4 linked regions of the Macaca mulatta genome follow. The protein of the gene in region 2 binds, or shares a complex with, the protein of the main gene of each other region. Links are inferred from orthologs where the notes say so. Each region holds a gene or a part of one and is shown on either strand. Other genes may lie near its edges.

The links.
Region 1: the proteins of FGF23 (region 2) and FGFR1 are in contact, whole or in part, in a cryo-EM structure (PDB 7YSH), measured with the Homo sapiens proteins. The link is inferred for Macaca mulatta from reciprocal best matches to the Homo sapiens genes FGF23 and FGFR1. Residues at the interface, in NP_065689.1 of Homo sapiens: Leu31, Leu32, Gly33, Ser34, Trp36, Gly37, Tyr43, Ala45, Thr46, Ala47, Arg48, Asn49, Ser50, His52, His66, Ile75, Arg76, Ser77, Glu78, Asp79, Ala80, Gly81, Val83, Val84, Tyr93, Phe108, His117, Gln118, Thr119, Asn122; in NP_075598.2 of Homo sapiens: Glu159, Lys160, Glu162, Lys163, Lys164, Leu165, His166, Ala167, Val168, Pro169, Lys172, Gln244, Asp246, Val248, Glu249, Arg250, Ser251, Pro252, Val279, Tyr280, Ser281, Asp282, Pro283, Gln284, Pro285, His286, Ile287, Ala314, Gly315, Val316.
Region 3: the proteins of FGF23 (region 2) and FGFR3 are in contact, whole or in part, in a cryo-EM structure (PDB 7YSU), measured with the Homo sapiens proteins. The link is inferred for Macaca mulatta from reciprocal best matches to the Homo sapiens genes FGF23 and FGFR3. Residues at the interface, in NP_065689.1 of Homo sapiens: Ser29, Leu32, Gly33, Ser34, Trp36, Tyr43, Ala45, Ala47, Arg48, Asn49, Ser50, His52, Ile75, Arg76, Ser77, Glu78, Asp79, Ala80, Gly81, Val83, Val84, His117, Gln118, Thr119, Asn122, Gly123, Tyr124, Asp125, Leu158, Ser159; in NP_000133.1 of Homo sapiens: Glu157, Arg158, Asp160, Lys161, Leu163, Leu164, Ala165, Val166, Pro167, Arg223, Asp244, Leu246, Glu247, Arg248, Ser249, Pro250, Val277, Tyr278, Ser279, Asp280, Ala281, Gln282, Pro283, His284, Ala312, Gly313, Ala314, Thr316, Thr317, Asp318.
Region 4: the proteins of FGF23 (region 2) and FGFR4 are in contact, whole or in part, in a cryo-EM structure (PDB 7YSW), measured with the Homo sapiens proteins. The link is inferred for Macaca mulatta from reciprocal best matches to the Homo sapiens genes FGF23 and FGFR4. Residues at the interface, in NP_065689.1 of Homo sapiens: Leu32, Gly33, Ser35, Trp36, Gly37, Tyr43, Ala45, Thr46, Ala47, Arg48, Asn49, Ser50, Ile75, Arg76, Ser77, Glu78, Asp79, Ala80, Gly81, Val83, Val84, Tyr93, His117, Gln118, Thr119, Asn122, Gly123, Tyr124, Asp125, Leu158; in NP_001341913.1 of Homo sapiens: Glu156, Lys157, Lys158, Leu159, His160, Ala161, Val162, Pro163, Asn166, Asp240, Leu242, Glu243, Arg244, Ser245, Pro246, Lys272, Val273, Tyr274, Ser275, Asp276, Ala277, Gln278, Pro279, His280, Ala308, Asp309, Ile310, Ser312, Gly336, Asn337.

What each region holds. Positions count from the first base shown.
Region 1 is NC_133413.1:40,368,867-40,372,872, reverse strand, and holds part of FGFR1 (fibroblast growth factor receptor 1 precursor), read left to right. Parts: exon of another isoform or gene 1-60; intron 61-873; coding exon 874-957; coding exon of another isoform or gene 958-963; intron 964-1,214; coding exon 1,215-1,387; intron 1,388-3,055; coding exon 3,056-3,179; intron 3,180-4,006. UniProt on the Homo sapiens protein: Tyrosine-protein kinase that acts as a cell-surface receptor for fibroblast growth factors and plays an essential role in the regulation of embryonic development, cell proliferation, differentiation and migration.
Region 2 is NC_133416.1:5,266,026-5,270,606, reverse strand, and holds the start of FGF23 (fibroblast growth factor 23 precursor), read left to right. Parts: upstream 1-1,529; 5' UTR 1,530-1,597; coding exon 1,598-1,808; intron 1,809-4,581. UniProt on the Homo sapiens protein: Regulator of phosphate homeostasis. Inhibits renal tubular phosphate transport by reducing SLC34A1 levels. Up-regulates EGR1 expression in the presence of KL. Acts directly on the parathyroid to decrease PTH secretion. Regulator of vitamin-D metabolism.
Region 3 is NC_133410.1:1,910,094-1,914,526, forward strand, and holds the start of FGFR3 (fibroblast growth factor receptor 3), read left to right. Parts: upstream 1-1,313; 5' UTR 1,314-1,534; intron 1,535-1,904; 5' UTR 1,905-2,006; coding exon 2,007-2,115; intron 2,116-4,433.
Region 4 is NC_133411.1:186,050,287-186,054,995, forward strand, and holds the start of FGFR4 (fibroblast growth factor receptor 4), read left to right. Parts: upstream 1-1,596; 5' UTR 1,597-1,781; intron 1,782-2,123; exon of another isoform or gene 2,124-2,709; intron 2,710-3,955; 5' UTR 3,956-4,008; coding exon 4,009-4,099; intron 4,100-4,709. UniProt on the Homo sapiens protein: Tyrosine-protein kinase that acts as a cell-surface receptor for fibroblast growth factors and plays a role in the regulation of cell proliferation, differentiation and migration, and in regulation of lipid metabolism, bile acid biosynthesis, glucose uptake, vitamin D metabolism and phosphate homeostasis.

The sequences.
Region 1 (4,006 bases), on a different chromosome or scaffold from region 2:
TTAGTGATTAGAGCCCCCGAACAGGTGGTGGGATCCCTGCTCTGCTGGAGAGGAACCCAGGTGCACTGCAAGGGAGCTGTGCGAGGGCAGCCAGGGAGCCCTGGAGCTCTGTGAACTTGGGAACCTGCCACTATTAGAATGTGACTTTCACAAAACTAGGAGTTGAGAAAGTGTTGCTGAAATTTTCTTTATGCCAATTTTGCACCTCGGGGTGCGGACTTGGCACCAGATCCCCAAAGGTGATAGGAAGGACTGGAGAAAGATCTGGCATGAACCCTGATGGGTGAGATAACATGTGTGTCAAGCCTGTTCTTACAAGAAATAAATACTTACTGGGGAGAGGTGTTGGCAGCTGCCGGGGTGTTGGGTGCCCTATCTGCTCTGGTTAGGGAGGGCAGCCCCCAAACCTTAGTGGACACATGCTAGAAAAATTCTGACTGTGGAGTGTTTAGCCCATCGTTTGGAAATAGCATCTAGCTACAATGTGTCTAGACCTGCCTGGGTTTCCCTGTAGTCAGCCGTCCAAAGAAGAATACACGCTGCCTGGCACCAGCACACCCAGGTGGTACCACAAGTTGAGAGAGAGCCTTTGAATGTAGGACGGAATTAAGTTAAAGAGGAACAGCTGACCCTGATGGAACCACCCAGTGTGAAGGCTTCCAGGCAGTGGGAGCAGTGCTTTGGGGAAGGAAGGAAACACGCACAGGAACTGTTCTTAAACAGTTTCCATCCCACCAAGAGATCGTCACTAAGGGAGAAGTGGGACTGGTATCCCCGTGGGGAGGGTGTTTGTGTTCATCTGGAACTGCACTAGCCTTGGCGAAATCTAGGGGTCCCTAGGAGGAACCTCAGTGCCCCTTCTTCTTCCCATAGATGCTCTCCCCTCCTCAGAGGATGATGATGATGATGATGACTCCTCTTCAGAGGAGAAAGAGACAGATAACACCAAACCAAACCGTATGCGTGAGACACTGTTTCCTATCTTACTGCCCTTTGGGTCTGGGCGTTGGGTTTAAGAGGGGAGGGGAAGGCTGAAAGGGGAGGAGGAGAGGGCACATGGGGTCACGATGCCTGTTCTGCTAAGTGCCAGGCACTGCTCACAGGTGTTGGGCAGATGGGCAGGGCACCCCCAGGTCCTGGCCTGGGCCCTGCTCCTGAGCCTGACCAGCTGCTCCTCCCCACCCTGCCTCTCTCTCTCGGCTTTCCCCGGGCAGCCGTAGCTCCATATTGGACATCCCCAGAAAAGATGGAAAAGAAATTGCATGCGGTGCCAGCTGCCAAGACAGTGAAGTTCAAATGCCCTTCCAGTGGGACCCCAAACCCCACACTGCGCTGGTTGAAAAATGGCAAAGAATTCAAACCTGACCACAGGATTGGAGGCTACAAGGTACGTGTGTGTGCATGCTAAAGTTGAGTAACGGGAACAGGGGAGGCCGAGCTAGGAAGTCCTGATTACACGCTTTTCATTGTTTTAAGTAATACTTTCTACCTATACAGGTTATGTATTAAAATTTTTAAATGCAAAAAAATGCAAATAAAGTTTAAAAATTTCTTCAGTCTTCTTTCTGTGTAATATGGTTTTTACATAGTTGATCACGTCATGTATAATAATTTCCTTGCCTTGTCATTTGTTAACATGAGTGTTTTCATGATATATTTCAAGCATGAATGTTTGAAACATATAAGATTCCATTATTTTTAAATCCCATAATTTGGCTGGGCACAGTGGCTCACACCTGTAATCCTGTCACTCTGAGAAGCCAAGGTGAGCAGATTGCTTGAGCTCAGGAGTTCGAGACCAGCCTGGGCAACATGGTGAAACCTCTCTACTAAAAATACAAAAAATTAGCCATGCGTGGTGGCAGGCTCCTGTAATTCCAGGTACTCGGGAGGCTGAGGCAGGAGAATTGCTTGAACCCGGGAGGCAGAGGTTGCAGTGAGCTGAGATCATGTCACTTCACTCCAGCCTGGGTGACAGAGCGAGACTCTGTCTCCAAAAAACAACAAAAAAGTCCCATAATTTAATGAACTATTTTGTGATATTAGGTATTTTCTGGTTTTTCACCATAATAAATAATGTTGCAGTGAATCTCTTGTCAGCATTTTTAAGTGTGCTTCCTTAGGACAGATTGTTACAAGTGAAATTAACAACTTAAAGGGTGTAAGCATTATTTATTTATTTATAGACGGAGTCTTGCTCTGTCGCCCAGGCTGGAGTGCAATGATGCCATCTTGGCTCATTGCAAGCTCCGCCTCCCGGGTTCATGCCATTCTCCTGCCTCAGCCTCCCGAGTATCTGGGATTATATGTGCAGGCCACCATGCCCGGCTGATTTTTGTATTTTTAGTAGAGACGGGGTTTCCCCATGTTGGTCAGGCTGGTCTTGAACTTCTGACCTCAAGTGATCTGTCCTCTTGGGCCTCCCAAAGTGCTAGGATTACAGGCATGAGCCACCGCACCCAGCCAGAAACATTTTAAATTAATTCACCATGCACTCACTACATGCAAGACACCATGCTTTAAATGCTACAAGACAGTGTTCCTGCCCATAAAAATTTTCCAGTCTCATCAGAGTCAAATGTCCATGAGTGGCTACCGTAAAAAGCAGACTGTGATCAGTGCCCTGGTAGGCAGAGGAAAGGGTGAGCACGGTTCTGACCAGAGAGTGGACTGGAGGAGATGGTTTTTGAAATGAGCTGTCAAGGGCAACAGGGGCTGGATTCTTAGTATAATAGGGGAGGTGCACAGTTGGGAACATTCCTGGTGTATTTGGAAGTGTTTGCAGAAGGCACATCTGTCCAGATCACGAATGACCTTGAACGTCACAGTGGAGACTTCCAGAGTCTTTACACCCCATCTACCACCTTGCAGAGTGTGAACGGGCTGGTAGTGGGGGCAACCCACGCCTTGTCCTAGCCAACCCTGCAGCCTGGAGCCCTGTGCCACCAGACTCTGATATGGAGGGCAGGTGCCACGGGGTGCCAACATTGTCATGGGGCTTCTGCCTGTATTTTCCTTCAGACTCTGAAAGTATCCCTTCGGCATTTCCCCTCAGGTCCGTTATGCCACCTGGAGCATCATAATGGACTCCGTGGTGCCCTCTGACAAGGGCAACTACACCTGCATTGTGGAGAATGAGTATGGCAGCATCAACCACACCTACCAGCTGGATGTCGTGGGTAAGAGGACAGAGGCGGCAGGAGGAATGCATTTAGTGGGAAGAGCTGAGCTTGGAGAACACAGCCGGGGTGTCCAGGTTTCTTAGGGGCAGAGTCAGGATAGCGGTTGGCACTTCTTGGCTTTGTCACCTTGAGCAGGTCACTTCTCCCTTTTGAGTCTCACTTTTCTTATCTGTAAAATAGAGTTAAGATCAGACAGTAACACATGTCAAAGCTGGTTGTCACTGTGAAATGGAAGGTGGTTTCAGAGTCTGTCCTGAAGGAGATGCTGTTGGAGAGGTGTTAAATGCAGCACAACAGGAGCTGTCGCTTAATGCCAGCAATGTGCCAGGCTCCTTAAATACCTGCTCTGTAATGCTTGTGGCACACCTGCAAGGTAGGTGGTATTAGTCTAGCTCTGCACAGGAGCCCAGGCAGTGAGGCTCAGAGAGGTGAGATACCTTGCTGATGCAGAACTGTACACCTGTGCCAACTTCAGGGCATCACAGGAGACTCTAGGAAGAATGTTGAGCCTCTTGGAGCGATTACCACAGCGTTTTCCTTCTAGGAGTTCTGAAAATCACTCCCTAGAGATCATTGGGTACAGAGTCTCTCAGTCAGTGTTCTTCTTGTGATAATATGGTCTAAAAAGGAGATTGTGGCCAGGCGCAGTGGCTTATGAGCTCCAGGTGGCGTAATGGGATTATTCATGCCTGTGATCCCATGACTTTAGGAAGCCAAGGCAGGAGGATTGCTTGAGGCCAGGAGTTTGAGACCAGCCTGGGCAACACAGTGAGATCCTGTCTCTATAAAAAAATTTAAAAATTAGCCTAGTGCAGTGGCATGTA
Region 2 (4,581 bases):
AGTGGAACAGTAAGCTCTCCATGAGTGTTAGTTGTTGCTGTGATTCGTTGGAGAAGCAGCCTGGGGAAGGAGAAAATCCTGTCCTGGCTCTACAATTTATTTGCTTTGTGCCTTTGACATGGAAAAACTGAGATCTCAATTTCTCCATGTAAAGTATTAAAATCTTGATAATGCATGGTGTGCCCCTCTCACAGAGTGGCAGTGAGGTTCAAATGAGCTAATAGATGTGAAAATGCTTTGTAAACTATTAAAAAAAACTGCACAAATGTAGGGTAACAGATGCCATTTCTTTCTGTCTATACCTGTATGCTTGCACTCATTTTGTATTACGGTTACTTATTTTTATCTGCCTCCTGCAGTAGATTTGAGCTCCTCGAGATAGGAATCACATCTTGCTGTCTCCTATATCAACTTGTACGTGATGTCTAGCTTGATGCCTGTACATGGCATGTACTCAGTACATGGGAAATTGGAAGAGGAGCAGTCTCCTTGGGTATTTTTTCGGGTGTATGTTGCAGTAGCTTGCTCCCCTTTAGACTGTGCGTGCCAGGACTATTTCCCCCAACATGAGGTGTAGCTTCCCAGAGGGCGCACTGTGAACAGCATCTGCAGGCAGGCATCCAGCACCAAGCTGAGCACTCATGTACAGACACTAAATGTGGGGACACCCTGTCCTGAGGCTCGGATTCCCGGTGCTCAGCCAGCAGCCTTTCCAATCCCCATGAGGTCTCTGAACGGGTCTCCTTACTCCTGGAGAGACTATTCATTTAGTTGTCCTCGATAGTCCAAACTAGGGAAACTGAGAAATTGAAACTTGGCATGTTCAGCGAAGTCCAAACTAAGGACGCTGAGAAATCGAACCTTGGCATGTTCAGGGACCTCAAGACCTTGCTTCTTTTTCTTCCATTTCAAAATCTTCCCAAAATGGCAACTTTGGTTTTTGTGCCCCTGCTCCCAGCTCCCATCTTTCACGAATTGGGGGTTCTCAGAGGATGCCATCTGCCTGACGGTGTCATGTATCTCTATATCCTACAAGCTAGCCACCGAATCCTGCTCATAGATTAAGCACTGGATACATACTTGCTGATTGGAATTTAAAGAAAACCAAAATAAGTAAACTCGACGGGAGATTAATTGCCTGGGAGTCGGTTGACTGCTTGACTGAAGCTGGATTTTTTTTGGGAACCGCTGGCTGCCTTCGCATTTCCTGATGGACGTGGGACAGGTCAACAGACAGCCCAGAGCGGCAGATAACTTTTGCCCACGCGTCATTCATTTTTTTGGAGCGTTGGCTTGAAATTGAGGGGGGTGTGTGTGTCTGGAACCGACGTGCCTTCCGTGCGCCTCCGGGGTCTCTGCACTCTCTTTCAATGGGCTGATTACAACACAGAGGATGTGGACAGCGGAGTTTTTCCTGTTTGATGTCACACTGCTACCCTTTAAAAGTCTGATGGCAAAAAGGAGGGAATTCAGTCTAGGATCCTCACACCAGCTACTTGCAAGGGAGAAGGAAAAGGCCAGTGAGGCCTGGGCCAGGAGAGTCCCGACAGGAGTGTCAGGTTTCAATCTCAGCACCAGCCACTCAGAGCAGGGCGTGATGTTGGGGGCCCGCCTCAGGCTCTGGGTCTGTGCCTTGTGCAGCGTCTGCAGCATGAGCGTCATCAGAGCCTATCCCAATGCCTCCCCATTGCTCGGCTCCAGCTGGGGTGGCCTGATCCACCTGTACACAGCCACAGCCAGGAACAGCTACCACCTGCAGATCCACAAGAATGGCCACGTGGATGGCGCACCCCATCAGACCATCTACAGTGAGTAGGACTTCAAGCTGGGAAGAAGGGGTGCGCCCCTGTTGTCCATCTACAGGGGGCTTGGGGAGGTTGGGGACTAGACTGGAGGGCTAATCCAACCCTCCAAGCTTTCTGCCCAGGAACCACTTATTGTCTGTGTGTGTGTGTGTGTGTGTGTGTATTTAAATCTTAGGGGAAGATTCTGTCACTCTCCTAATTAGTATTTGCTGGTTTTTCTAACATGCATACTTTTTGTTTAAACTAAAACCCTTCCCACAGTAGGAGCCATATTCCCTTTGCCCCATCAAAAGATTCAGAAAATATACTGAAAGAAAAGCAAGGAGTCTAAGAGAAAAAGAAGCCAGGCAGATCAACAGACACTAAGTTTCAGCTCCTGGACTTCAGGCTGGGTTAACTAGGCAGGTTGGAAAGAAGATTCCCAGGTCATACCCAGATTGTAATAGATAAATCTGGGGGCTCTTTCCAATTCTGGCCTTATAAAAATTCTTGGAAAAATGTATTAAACACAGACTGTCCAGGAATGTTGTCTTGGTGAGAATGGCCAAGTATACAACCCATCCACCCATTCATTTGTCCATGCATCCATCCATCCAACCTTTAAACTTTAACAGGTTTAAAGGCTGTTTCAGATACTCAGGTACCCCGGTACCCAGTACGCATTGGTGATTCTTCTCCGTGGAACTGAAAGGTGTCCAGTCAGTAGCAAATCAAGCTAGTTAGAAACTTATTGGCAATGTGAGACAACTGGAATGTTTTTAAAGATCAGGTTTGTGGAGAATCGGATCACAATCCACAATAATCAATCCATTAGCAATGATTCAAATGAGGGCCACTTTGTGCGCACCTATATAAGGGGTAATGTGGTGGGAGCAGGGATATTGAAAAAGACTGGATCTTCTATTTTAAGAAAACATGTGAATACCTCTAAGAATATATAAAAATGCAAAGTGATCCAATATAGCTCAAATTAAGGGAAAGAAAAATTAGTTAGACAATCTCTAACTAAAGAAAACATAGGAATTATGATTTGCCTTTTATTGTTGTAATAAGTTAATTATTTTTGCTGTGACCTTGCTGTGTGTGAGGCATTTATTCTTCTAGGAACCAAAGGTCCTTAAACCTGGTTGCAAGATATATAACATGCAAAATTAAGTTGCAAGATATATGACATGCGAAATTGACAGTTTAAACCTCCTCAAGTGCTAGATGCATATTGATAGGAGATAAAAGGAGAGAGAAAAGTTCTCTCCAAATACCAAACAGGTTCCAGAACTCTAGAGGATATACTAAGACTCAGGAGTCAACATCTTGGAAACCAAGTGTGAGTCTCGTGGCAAAAATTTCAATTAAATCTGGATATACTTGATGAACCCCAAGTGTTGTTCATTTTATTCAATGGATATTTAACAGGATCTACAATGTGCCTGGCATTCTATCAAGCTCTGTGACTGAAAAGTAAGACACAACCCCTCAAGGACCTTGTGGTCTGTCGTCCTGCCTTGTCAGCTAGCTCACTACCAGACTTTAGGAAACGCGACTTTGCGCCTCTCATGGAGTGGCCACTCTTACTCTAATTCAAGACTCTATGTGATTTAAAATGCAGAATAGTAGATGATGGTAAATTGTTTTGATTCTCTTAGATGGAAAGGGCGGCATCCAACTAGAGAATGTTTACACAACTTGTCTCGAATCCTGGAATCCCATTGCTGAAAGGAACTCCTTAAAGACGTTTCCTCCTGAACAAGAATTAGGGTAGAACGGAACAGGCTGGCTACGGTGGGGAGTGAGTGTGAAGAGTCGACCTCCTGGGCTGGCATTCTGAACTGTAGACCTTTTCCTTGAAAACCCACCTCGTATCAGGCCCCAAGGGATCACTGAGTGCTAGCTGAATTAAAAGGATTGAGAGGCAGCAAAACAAATGGAACTGACTTCAGATCTTTAAAAACAGAAATACGGTTTTGTTTTCTTAGACACAGGCACTAGCTAAACATTGCATCTTTAAAGAGTTAAACACGAATATGGGGAGGGGAACTTAGGGTCAGGGGAGTGGGAGAAAGATCTGCTTTTCCTAGTCTATGTAGATAACTTTTTGTACTGTTCAATCAGTTGTCACGTGTATTATGGGGGGGAAAAAGTGCAGGAAAAAAATTACACAATACAATTAAAAGTTACCCAAAAGAGGCCAGGTGTGGTGGCTCATGCATATAATCCCAGCACCTTGGGAGGCCAAGGCAAGAGAATCACTTGAAGTCAGGGGTTAAAGACCAGCCTGGCCAACATGGGGAAACCCTGTGTCTACTAAAAATACAAAAATTAGCTGGGCGTGGTGGTGCGCGCCTGTAATCCCAGCTACTTGGGAGGCTGAGGCAGGAGAGTTGCTTGAACCCAGGAGGCGGAGGTTGCAGTGAGCTGAGATCACACCACTGTGCTCCAGCCTGGGCGACAGAGCGAGACTCCGTCTCAAAAAAAAAAAAAAAAAGTTACGTAAAAAGAAAGAGGAAAGATTAATGCACGTAGATAAGAATCACAACTAATTAAATGTCTGGTGAAGGATTTGTAATGACCTCATCAGTGACTGTTAAGCAATGTTTTTACACTGACGGAAACCTAAAATGTGAGGGGTATTTTTTCCACTCCTAATTATCCATTTCTAGTGAATTCTGGTTCATCTTATTATTTTGCTGTGAGAAATTCTTAAGAGTTGAGTGCACGACCCATCTTTGGGTCATTGGACTTGACAAAATGAAATTATCTCCTGCCTACCAGATTCTTC
Region 3 (4,433 bases), on a different chromosome or scaffold from region 2:
GGGCTGTGCTCTGGAGGGGGCTGGACAGTGCACTTGGAGGTTAGTGAGGCTGGGCCCCAAGATGGTCTGGGGACATGGACTTGGCCAGAGCAGGAAACAAGGGTGGCCGAGGACAAGTGCTGAGCCACCAAGTGGGCACAGAGAGGTGGGCATGAGGGCTCCCTGGGAGCAGAGCCCTTCCAAGGCCCTGAGGTCAGTCCAGGGACACCCTGGCCTCTGGGAGCTGCAGGGTTGAGCTGTGCATGGGCTGGGTAGGGTCAGCAAACAGCCAGTCACTGAGGGACTTTTAGCGCCCATTTTCCTGATGACTACATTTAGTCCTGGAAGCCACAAGCCAGGCGGGCAGCAGACTCGGCCGGCCCTCCCCCCAGCTCACTGGCTCCCATGGGCTCCGGACCCCCTTGGGCTTTGCCTGAAGATGGGAGCAGTTGGCCTTTTCCTTGTGAGGGTGGACACAGAAGCTAACAGTCATGTGGGGTAAGGGGACCCAGACACCCGCAGCGTCCCCCGCAGGGCAGTATCTTCCCCTCCTGGGAACCCACCTCACCAGTCCCAACCCTCCTCAGCTGGACTCTGAGCCCGCCCCGTGGAGCCTAGAACCTCGGGCCAGCTCAGGCTCTGCCACCAGCTCTTCGTTATTCTCCCTCAGAGCCGGGCTGCGCTCCCCAAGCCAGGGGTCTCCAGCCCCTGCCCTTCATTCTAGGCCGGGCAGGCAGCCAGTCCCAGGCCTGTGTCCTCCTGGGGGGCAGGGGTAGGGACCTCTCGGGGCTGGGCACTCAGGCGGCTTAGGTGCATGCGGCTCGGCCCCAGGTTAGTCAACGCAGCCTCTGCTCCTTGCCAGTCAGGTACGCAGGCCGCACCGGGCTGCCCCAGGCCTGCGGCGCACACCGGAGGCTCGGCCTGGAATGCCGCCCTGCCCTCCTCCACCTGAGGAATTCCCGCTCACACCACAGGGTTCAGCTCCGCGGCATCTTGGCGACGCCTCCTGACATCCCGACCCCCGCCGAGACCTCCCCTCTGAGCTCCTGAGCACAGCCTCAGGGGACCCGAGCTGCGCGCTGTGCAAACGGAAGCCTGCGCTCGCCCTCGGTGCGCCCCGTGCCCACCGCCCACCGGGCCGCCCCGCGGTGCGATTGGGGGCCTCGCCCGCCTGCCCCGGCTCCCACGCCCTCGAGACCGCCGGGCGCCCCCGCCCGGCCACGCCCCCTCGGATGCCCCGCTCCGCCCCGAGGGGGCGTGCCTTGCGCCCCGGCGAGTCGGGCGGGGGCCGGGCGGGAGCGGGGCGGGGCCGGGGCGGGGCGCGGACCGTCCCCCACTGGCTGCGGCGCGCGGGGCAACCCAGGCTCAGTGCGCGGTGGCGGCGGCGGCGGCGGTGGCGGCGTCGCGAGCAGCTGGCGCCGCGCGGTCCTGCTCTGCCGGTCGCACGGACGCACCGGCGGGCCGCCGGCCGGAGGGACGGGGCGGGAGCTGGGCCTGCGGACAGCGAGCCGGAGCGGGAGCCGCGCCTAGCGAGCCGGACTCCGGCGCCCGCCAGGTCGGTGCTTGGGTCCGGGCAGGCGCGCGGAGGGGTCCAACGGTGCGCGCGGAGGGGCCGGGGCGCGGCAGTCGCGGAACCACAGCAGTCCCTGCGGCGGGCCGGGCCGGGGCGCGGGCTTCCCGCTCCGGAAAGTTTGCCGCCGCCGCCGCCGCCCTGGGAGGGCTCTGCAGCAGCCAGGGAGGGAAGGGGGAGGAGGGAGGAACCGCGGCGGGGAGGAGGCGGCCGGCGCCAGGCGGCCCGGGAGCTCTGGGCGGCGGCGGCGGCGGGCGGGGCGGCTGGGGGTCGGAGGGGTCGGGGCGCAGGAGCCGGCCACCGCCGCTTTCGTCCCTACCCGCGCCGCTAACGAGCTGCCCTCCTCCTCCCGCAGTTTCCCAAGCGGCGCCCGCCTCCCGCCGGTGCCCGCGCCGGGCCGTGGGGGGCAGCATGCCCGCGTGCGCCGCCTGAGGACGCCGCGGCCCCCGCCCCCGCCATGGGCGCCCCTGCCTGCGCCCTCGCGCTCTGCGTGGCAGTGGCCATCGTGGCCGGCGCCTCCTCGGAGTCCTTGGGGACGGAGCAGCGCGTCGTGGGGCGAGTGGCAGGTAAGAAGGGACCCACTGGGCACGGGAGGGGCCGGCCCGTGCGGGCAGAGGCGTTGGGGACGGGAACCGGCCCCAGGTCGGAGGGAACTCCGGGTGTGAGTGACGCCCCGGGGTCAGCGCCCGGATTCCGCTGTCTCCGTCCCGGAGAGCGCGGCCAGCGGTAGCGCGGCGACTTGTGGGGCGCCTGGAGCCGCAGGTACCCCCCAAATGCGAGGCCGCCACTGGGAGCCAGGCCGGGGGTTGGCGTCCGCAGCCCCGTCCCCTGCGGCTCCCCAGCCCTGGCCTGTCGGGAGGGCGCGGGTTTCCCCATTTCCACGATTCCCGCTGTTCTTCGGGTTCTGCGCAGACGGAAAGTTCCCATTGTTGGCGTCCCCCTCCCCCGGGCCCCAGTTTGTGGCGAGCTTCGGCCAAGGGGAGAGGCCGGACTTCTGAGGGTGGGTGTGCGCGTCAGCGAAGCCCGGCCCCTGCCCGCCGGACGAGGCTGCAGCCTCCAGCGCCCCCGCTGCCGACCCTGCCAGTGCCTGGGGGCTGAGGGCGCTTCCCCGTGGGTGCGCGCCGAGCTCCAGGCGAGCGAGGAGCGCGTGTCCCAGCGTCGCGGGCCCTAGACCGGGCTGGCGGTCCAGGTCCTGCGGGACGTCAAGTGTCTGAAGGGAGGTGAGGGGAAGGGGCGCCCGGCCCGCCCTGCACGCGCGCCGCGGTTCCTCGCGGGTCGGGCCGAGAGCTCCGGTGCCGCCGCCCCGTACACGCTGCCGGCTCCGGGCGGGCGAAGGGGGCGCGCACAGCCCAGCCCGGCGGCCGCGCGGAGGGAGGCCCTGGCCCGGTGAGTTCGCGCCCCACCCGGGCCCAGGCCCGAACAGCCGCTCCTTTGTACCTCGGCGCGGCCACAGACCGCGCATTGATGGCGGCGCGGCGGCTCGCGGGGAGGTGTGAGCGGCTGCGGGCGCGGCGGGCCGGGGAGGGCGCCGGGAGGGCCGAGGCAGATGGCGGCCGCCCCGCCCGCGCCCCCGCGCCCCTTTCTCCGGCGGCGGCTGCAGCCTCCCGGAACAATGTCATTTTTTTTATGAATGAAAGTGGCCCGGCGCTTGAATGTGCGTGTCATTCAGCGGCGTGACAGGGGCCGTCGGGAGGTCAGCGCGCGCTTTTAGCGCCTGCTCGGGCGGCCCCGCTTCCAGGGGTGCGGGAGGGGCGGCCGCGGGGGGAGCCTGGCTTTCGTATTCTCATTCAGATAAAGATATTACTCCCTACGGCCCGGGAATGTCAGCCAGCCCCGGGGAGGGGCGGCGGCCAGGCTACAGAGCGTCTCCCGGATCCCCGGCGGGCGCGCGGGGCCTCCCCTTCTCGCCCCTGGAACGCCCCGCCCCCCGCCTTGGGGCGGCGACCCCGCCCGCACTGGAGCTGGTGAAACAGGTAGTGAGTTGATCGGTCAATAAATTTAATCCGGTTCCTTAACAAGATGGGCCGGGCAGTAAAAATACAAAGACCTCGTGAAATGGACTGAGGTCTAGGCTGGCGCTTGCCTGGGAACATAAATTATGGAGCCTTGGCTGGCAGTGGTCAAGGGCGGTGGGGAAGGTTTTGGCCCCTGGACTGCCCTGGCCACCCCAGGCCCTGCCAGGACAGCCGCCATCTCCCCAGAGGGCTGTGTTCCTGGTTGGAGCCTAGGGGGACCCCCCAGGGTGCAGGGAGGAAGACAAGGTCGGCTCTCCCACAGCGCCACACCCCCCAGCAGGGGTCTCGGGGTGCAGGGTCTTTCCTGAAGGTGCTGACTGAATCCTCCCCCACCCCTCCTCTGCCGGGCTGGACTTTGAGCCGCGTGGGCCTCTGGGTGGTTCATTAACCTGGGCTGAGCGTGGCCTCCAGGTCCTTGTGTGAGCCTAGGAACCCCTCGTTACTCACCCCCCAGCCCCCCAGCTCTCAGGTACTTGGAGCTGGAACTGGGAATGGGGCACCCCTTGTTACAGCTGAGCTTGGGTGGGAGTCCAGGGGCTTGGGGGTCTCCTGGAGGAGGGGGGTCCAAAGTCACCCCATCTAGGGAGGCAGGCAGCCCTCACCTGAGTGACTGAGGAGTGAATGAGCTGGGAGTGGAGCCACCTTTGGTGGGGTAAGGGGTTGGCCTGGACCTCCAGACTGCCAGCCCAGGCTCAGGTGCCCTCTTCGAACCTCAGTTTCCTCACCTGTCCAAGAGAACCGATAATGGCAGGCTGTTTGAAGGATTAGGCCGGATAACCCTGGCAAGCCCTCTTTAGCCTGCCCAGCCCCCAGATCCCTTTTTTCCTGACTTTATTGTGAAACTCTGAAGAGGAATGTCTCCAGGTGGG
Region 4 (4,709 bases), on a different chromosome or scaffold from region 2:
ACCTGGAACTCTCCCCCGCTCGTGAAACGAGACGGGCAGGAGAGCTCCCCCACTGAGCTCCGAGCAGTGTTATATAGTCTAAGAAAAGTGGGCATAGAGTTATTATACAAATCAGATATATGATTGGCTAGTGTTTGAACAAGGCGATTTGGCTAACTATGATTGGTTCCCGCCATTTCTGATATTTTGGTTCAAACTTTGAGGCGGGAGAGCAGGTTTATGGCAGCAAGAGTTTATCTTACTTAAACACGTCTTGTGACCTTGCCTCAGAACTTACAAAACCTCTGGTATGTGCAAAACAAAATCTCTGGTACGTGCAGAAAACCAGGTACTCACAGAACTTACGAAATCTCTGGTATGTGCAAAGATTAGAGAGCAGAACAAGGGTGTAGCGGGTGGGGGGCGGGTACACATCTATCTTTGTGTCCTTTCACTAGTATTACAAAGCAAGCGCTGCATGCCAGGCTTACATATACTGCTAACATGTCTACTTTTTGTTTTTTTGAGATGGAGTCTCGCTCTGTCGCCCAGGCTGGAGTGCAGTGGCCGATCTCGGCTCACTGCAAGCTCCGCCTCCCGGGTTCACGCCATTCTCCTGCCTCAGCCTCCCGAGTAGCTGGGACCACAGGCGCCCGCCACCTCGCCCGGCTAGTTTTTTGTATTTTTTAGTAGAGACGGGGTTTCACCGGGTTAGCCAGGATGGTCTCGATCTCCTGACCTCGTGATCCGCCCGTCTTGGCCTCCCAAAGTGCTGGGATTACAGGCTTGAGCCACCGCGCCCAGCCACATGTCTACTTTTTGCAACAACCTCTTGAGGGTGAGACTATCATTTGCCTGTTTCACTGAAAAGACAGTGAAGACCGAGGCCTTGTGTGATGGTGCTGAGAGCTGGGCCTATGACGTCCAGCCCTGTAGTCTGTGCTCTGAACCACTTCACTCTGCTTCTTTCTCCATCCTCACAACAGAGAAGTCATCTAAGAGGAGCTTGCAAGTCCGGAGGGCTTCCTGGAGGAAGTGAGCTGAGAATAATATAAAATTAACCAGACCAAAGGGCATTCCAGGAAGAGGGAATGGTACCTGAAACTGCCCAGGAGTAGCAGGGAGCCAGGAGGCGTGGGTCATGGCAATAATCTATGTATAAAGAGCTATGGGAAGCTATAGGAAAATTTAAGGGAGTGGCTGACACAGTCAGATTTGTGTTGTAAGTATCACTCCCCAGGTTGCGCAGAGAACAAATGAGGGAGCCGAAGGAAGGGGTTCTCCTATCCACTGCACGGTACTGCGCAGAAGACAGGGGAGCCAGGCATTCCCTGAGGGGTGAAAAGCAAGCAGTAGAGCTGGGTAGTGGACTAGAACTTAGAAGCCTGGCCTGGAGCCTGGGTGGGGCGAAAGAGGAGGAGCCTGAATGGGGTGTGTATAGGGGGTGTGTGTAGGGGTGTGTGTATAGGCTGGGGCGGGGTCCCTGGAGTGGGCTGACTGGGTCGGCGGCGGGTCTCCAGGTGGGCGGGGCTCTTGGCCACCTCCCCCGCCGGCCACACCTCTCTCCGGCTCGAGCTGGGCCAGGAGGGGTGGGCCCGAGGGGGCGTGGCAGGAGGCGGGCGGGCCCGAGCAGGAGGGGCGGGCCCGAGGGGCGGGGCAGGAGGTGGGCCGCCCGCGGCCACGCCGCCGTCGCGGGTACATTCCTTGCTCCCGGCTGAGGAGCGCTTGGGCTGTCTGCGGACCCCGCCGGGTGCACGGGTCGCGGCCGGCTGGAGCTGGGAGTGAGGCGGCAGAGGAGCCAGGTGAGTAGGAGGCAGGCGACCAGGACCCTGTGCAGGGCGCGGAGTCACGCAGGCTCGAGGTGAGCCGGAACCCTTGCGGGCCCGGGCTGCGCTCCCAGCCGCCAGGGGGCGAGCGGCGGCGGGGCTGCAGGGACTGCCCCTCCCGGCGCAGGGGACCTGGGCGTCCGCCGGGCGGCAGGGGGTGGAGGGGGCGGTAAATCAGTAACCCGCAGTGCACACAGGGCCTTTTGTCCCGCTCCGTCCAAAGAGCACCCTGGCCGCGGAGCTGGTTACTCATTGCCCACCGAGGCGGGGGCAGGCCGGCCCTGTGCAGCTACCCTCGGGACCCATTGATTCGCACCTCCCCCCAGGCTGGCCCGGCAAGGGTGGGGGAGGACAAGCTTGTCCCTGCGGCTGTCTTCGCGCCGGCGGCAGAGATGAGGGAGCTGAGGCCCCGAAAGTTTCAGTCACTTAGCGCCCGGGGGCCTCCACCGCGAGTGCGGGAGGCTGTCTGATGCCTAAGGCAGGCCCTCTGTTCCCACGTGTGGGGTGGTCGGTCAGCGGTCAGCAGCCACGGGTGACTTTTCCACGGACTCTGATATCAGGGCAGCCTGGGGTAGGAATAAAATCCCCGGGCCTCCCCAGCCACTCCCAGCCCAAGCTGTGTACTCAAAGAGCTGCCCTCCCTGCCAAGCCGAGCTTGGTAGGGGGTTTTACCAAGGGGGATCCAACTGGATTTGAGAGTTGAAGTGGCCTCAGAGACAGCAGTATCTGAGTCAAATAGAGAAGAGGAATGGGGGGCACAGAGGGATGGGCAAGAGAGCATATGTGACCAGTTTTGAGAGCCAATGGCTTCAGCGCTCCTGAAGGGACAGACGGTGTGACCAAAGAGATAGGCAGCGGAACAGAGGGAGCCCTAGGATGCTGAGCTGAATCCTGCTGGGCACAGGTAACCATTAAGGGCTTGCAAGCTGGGGGCATGACATGGCAGACTTGTAGTTTTTTAAAACTCTGCTGGAAGATGAAGGTTGAAGAGCCCAGGGAGAGGATGTTTCCAAAGGCCCATGCAAGAGATGGCCATGACCTGCCCTGAGTCAGGGCAGGGGAAGCCAGATGGACTGGAAGTGGAGTGGCAGTGAGCAAGGGTAAGGAGGTGTGATAGGCTTCCCACACAGGGTAGATCCAGAGACACCAGTGCCACCCATAGGCCCCTAGGACTGCAGTGATCACAGTATTCCTTTGTCCCAGCTGAGACTCGGTTCTGAGTGTTCTGTTTTGGGGAACAGAGGTGTCCTTGGTAGCATTTGGAAGAGGATAGCCAGCTGGGGTGTGTGTACATCACAGCCTGACAGTAACAGCACCCGAACCAGAGGTGACTGGCTGAGGGCAGACCCAGGGCAACAGGTGAACAGTTCTAGGGCCGGGCACAGGGAGAAGAACATTCCAACACTCTGTGTGCCCAGTGCCGATGCACGTTGTCTCTTCTATCCTCAAAACAGTCCTATGAGGATAGTAACCCAGAGAGAGACAGAGACAAGGAATTACAAGTTGATGAGAGTCGGGATTTGAACTTGGCTCTGGTGGATGGATAATTACGGTCTGTATTCTTTACAAAACCGTGTGTACCTCGGATGGAGTTGGTGCATGACAAGCAGAGGTATTCAGGGATGCGGTCCTGCTTGCTACGGAAGGAGCTGCCTTGTCAGTGGTGGGCGCCCAGCTCTGGAAATGTCAGTAATGCTATAAGGAGTGGGGATTGGATCAGATAACATCCAGATGCTGAAGTTTGGCCTTGTATCATTTTTCACTTTGTTTTTTGGCTCTTCGGCAATCAATTCATTTATTCAGCAAAAAATAAATTACGTGTGCCAAGAGCATGCAGAAGATAGTCTCCGTTCTCTGCTTCCCTCCAAGAAAAGAATCCCAAAACTGCTTTCTGTGAACGTGTGCCAGGGTCCCAGCAGGACTCAAGGAGAGCAGGAAGCCCAGCCCAGACCCCTTGCACAACCTACTGTAGGAAGGCATCAGGCTCTGGCTACAGCAGAGCTGGTTCCAGTCTGCACTGCCACAGCCTGGCCAGGGACTTGGACACATCTACTGGCCACTTCCTGTCTCCATTTCCTCATCTGCAAAATAAGGGAAAGCCCCCGCAAAGGTGCATGTGGAGCAGGAGCTCTTTTCCCCCCCTATTCTAGGAAGGCAGTTGGTGGGAAGTCCAGCCTGGGCCCCTGAGAGCTGCGGGAAGGAGATGCGGCTGCTGTCGGCCCTCTTGGGGGTCCTGCTGAGTGTGCCTGGGCCTCCAGTCTTGTCCCTGGAGGCCTCGGAGGAAGTGGAGCTGGGTATGGCTTCTGAGGGGGGAGAGGGTGGCAGGGGTGGGAAGAGTGGGCACCAGGAGGGGGCTGCTGGGCTGAGCAAAGCTGGAAAGGATCCTTGCCCAGGCCCTGAGAAAGTGGCAGCAGGGCAGGGCTCAACCACTGAGACTCAGTCAGTGCCTGGCTTCCAGCAAGCATCCATGTATCTCTGTGTCTGCGAGAGAGGACTGGCCTCGCAGGGTGCAGGGCCCTAAGCTGGGCCGCAGAGCTGGTGGTGAGCTCCTTGCCTGGGTGTGTGCGCGCGCGCGTGTGTGTGTGTGTTCTGTGCACTGGATGTGTGACCTAGGAGGTCCAGGCAGCATGTGTGGTGTATGCATTATGAGGGTGATATGCCCCAGTGCAGCATGACCCTGTATATGGCACCAATAGCATGTGCCGTGTGTGTGTGTGTCCATGTGTGTGTGTGTGTGTGTGTCTTGGCCAGTGTCATGTGCACTAAATGCTGTGTGCGTGACATGCCCCAAGAGTGTGGCATTTGCCCTGGGTGTGGCATCCGCAGCATGTGGCTGTGCGGGTGTCAAGGAGCGGTGGCTCCTCCAGCATGCGTCGCGAGGTGCTTGTGCCCTGCATGTGTGGC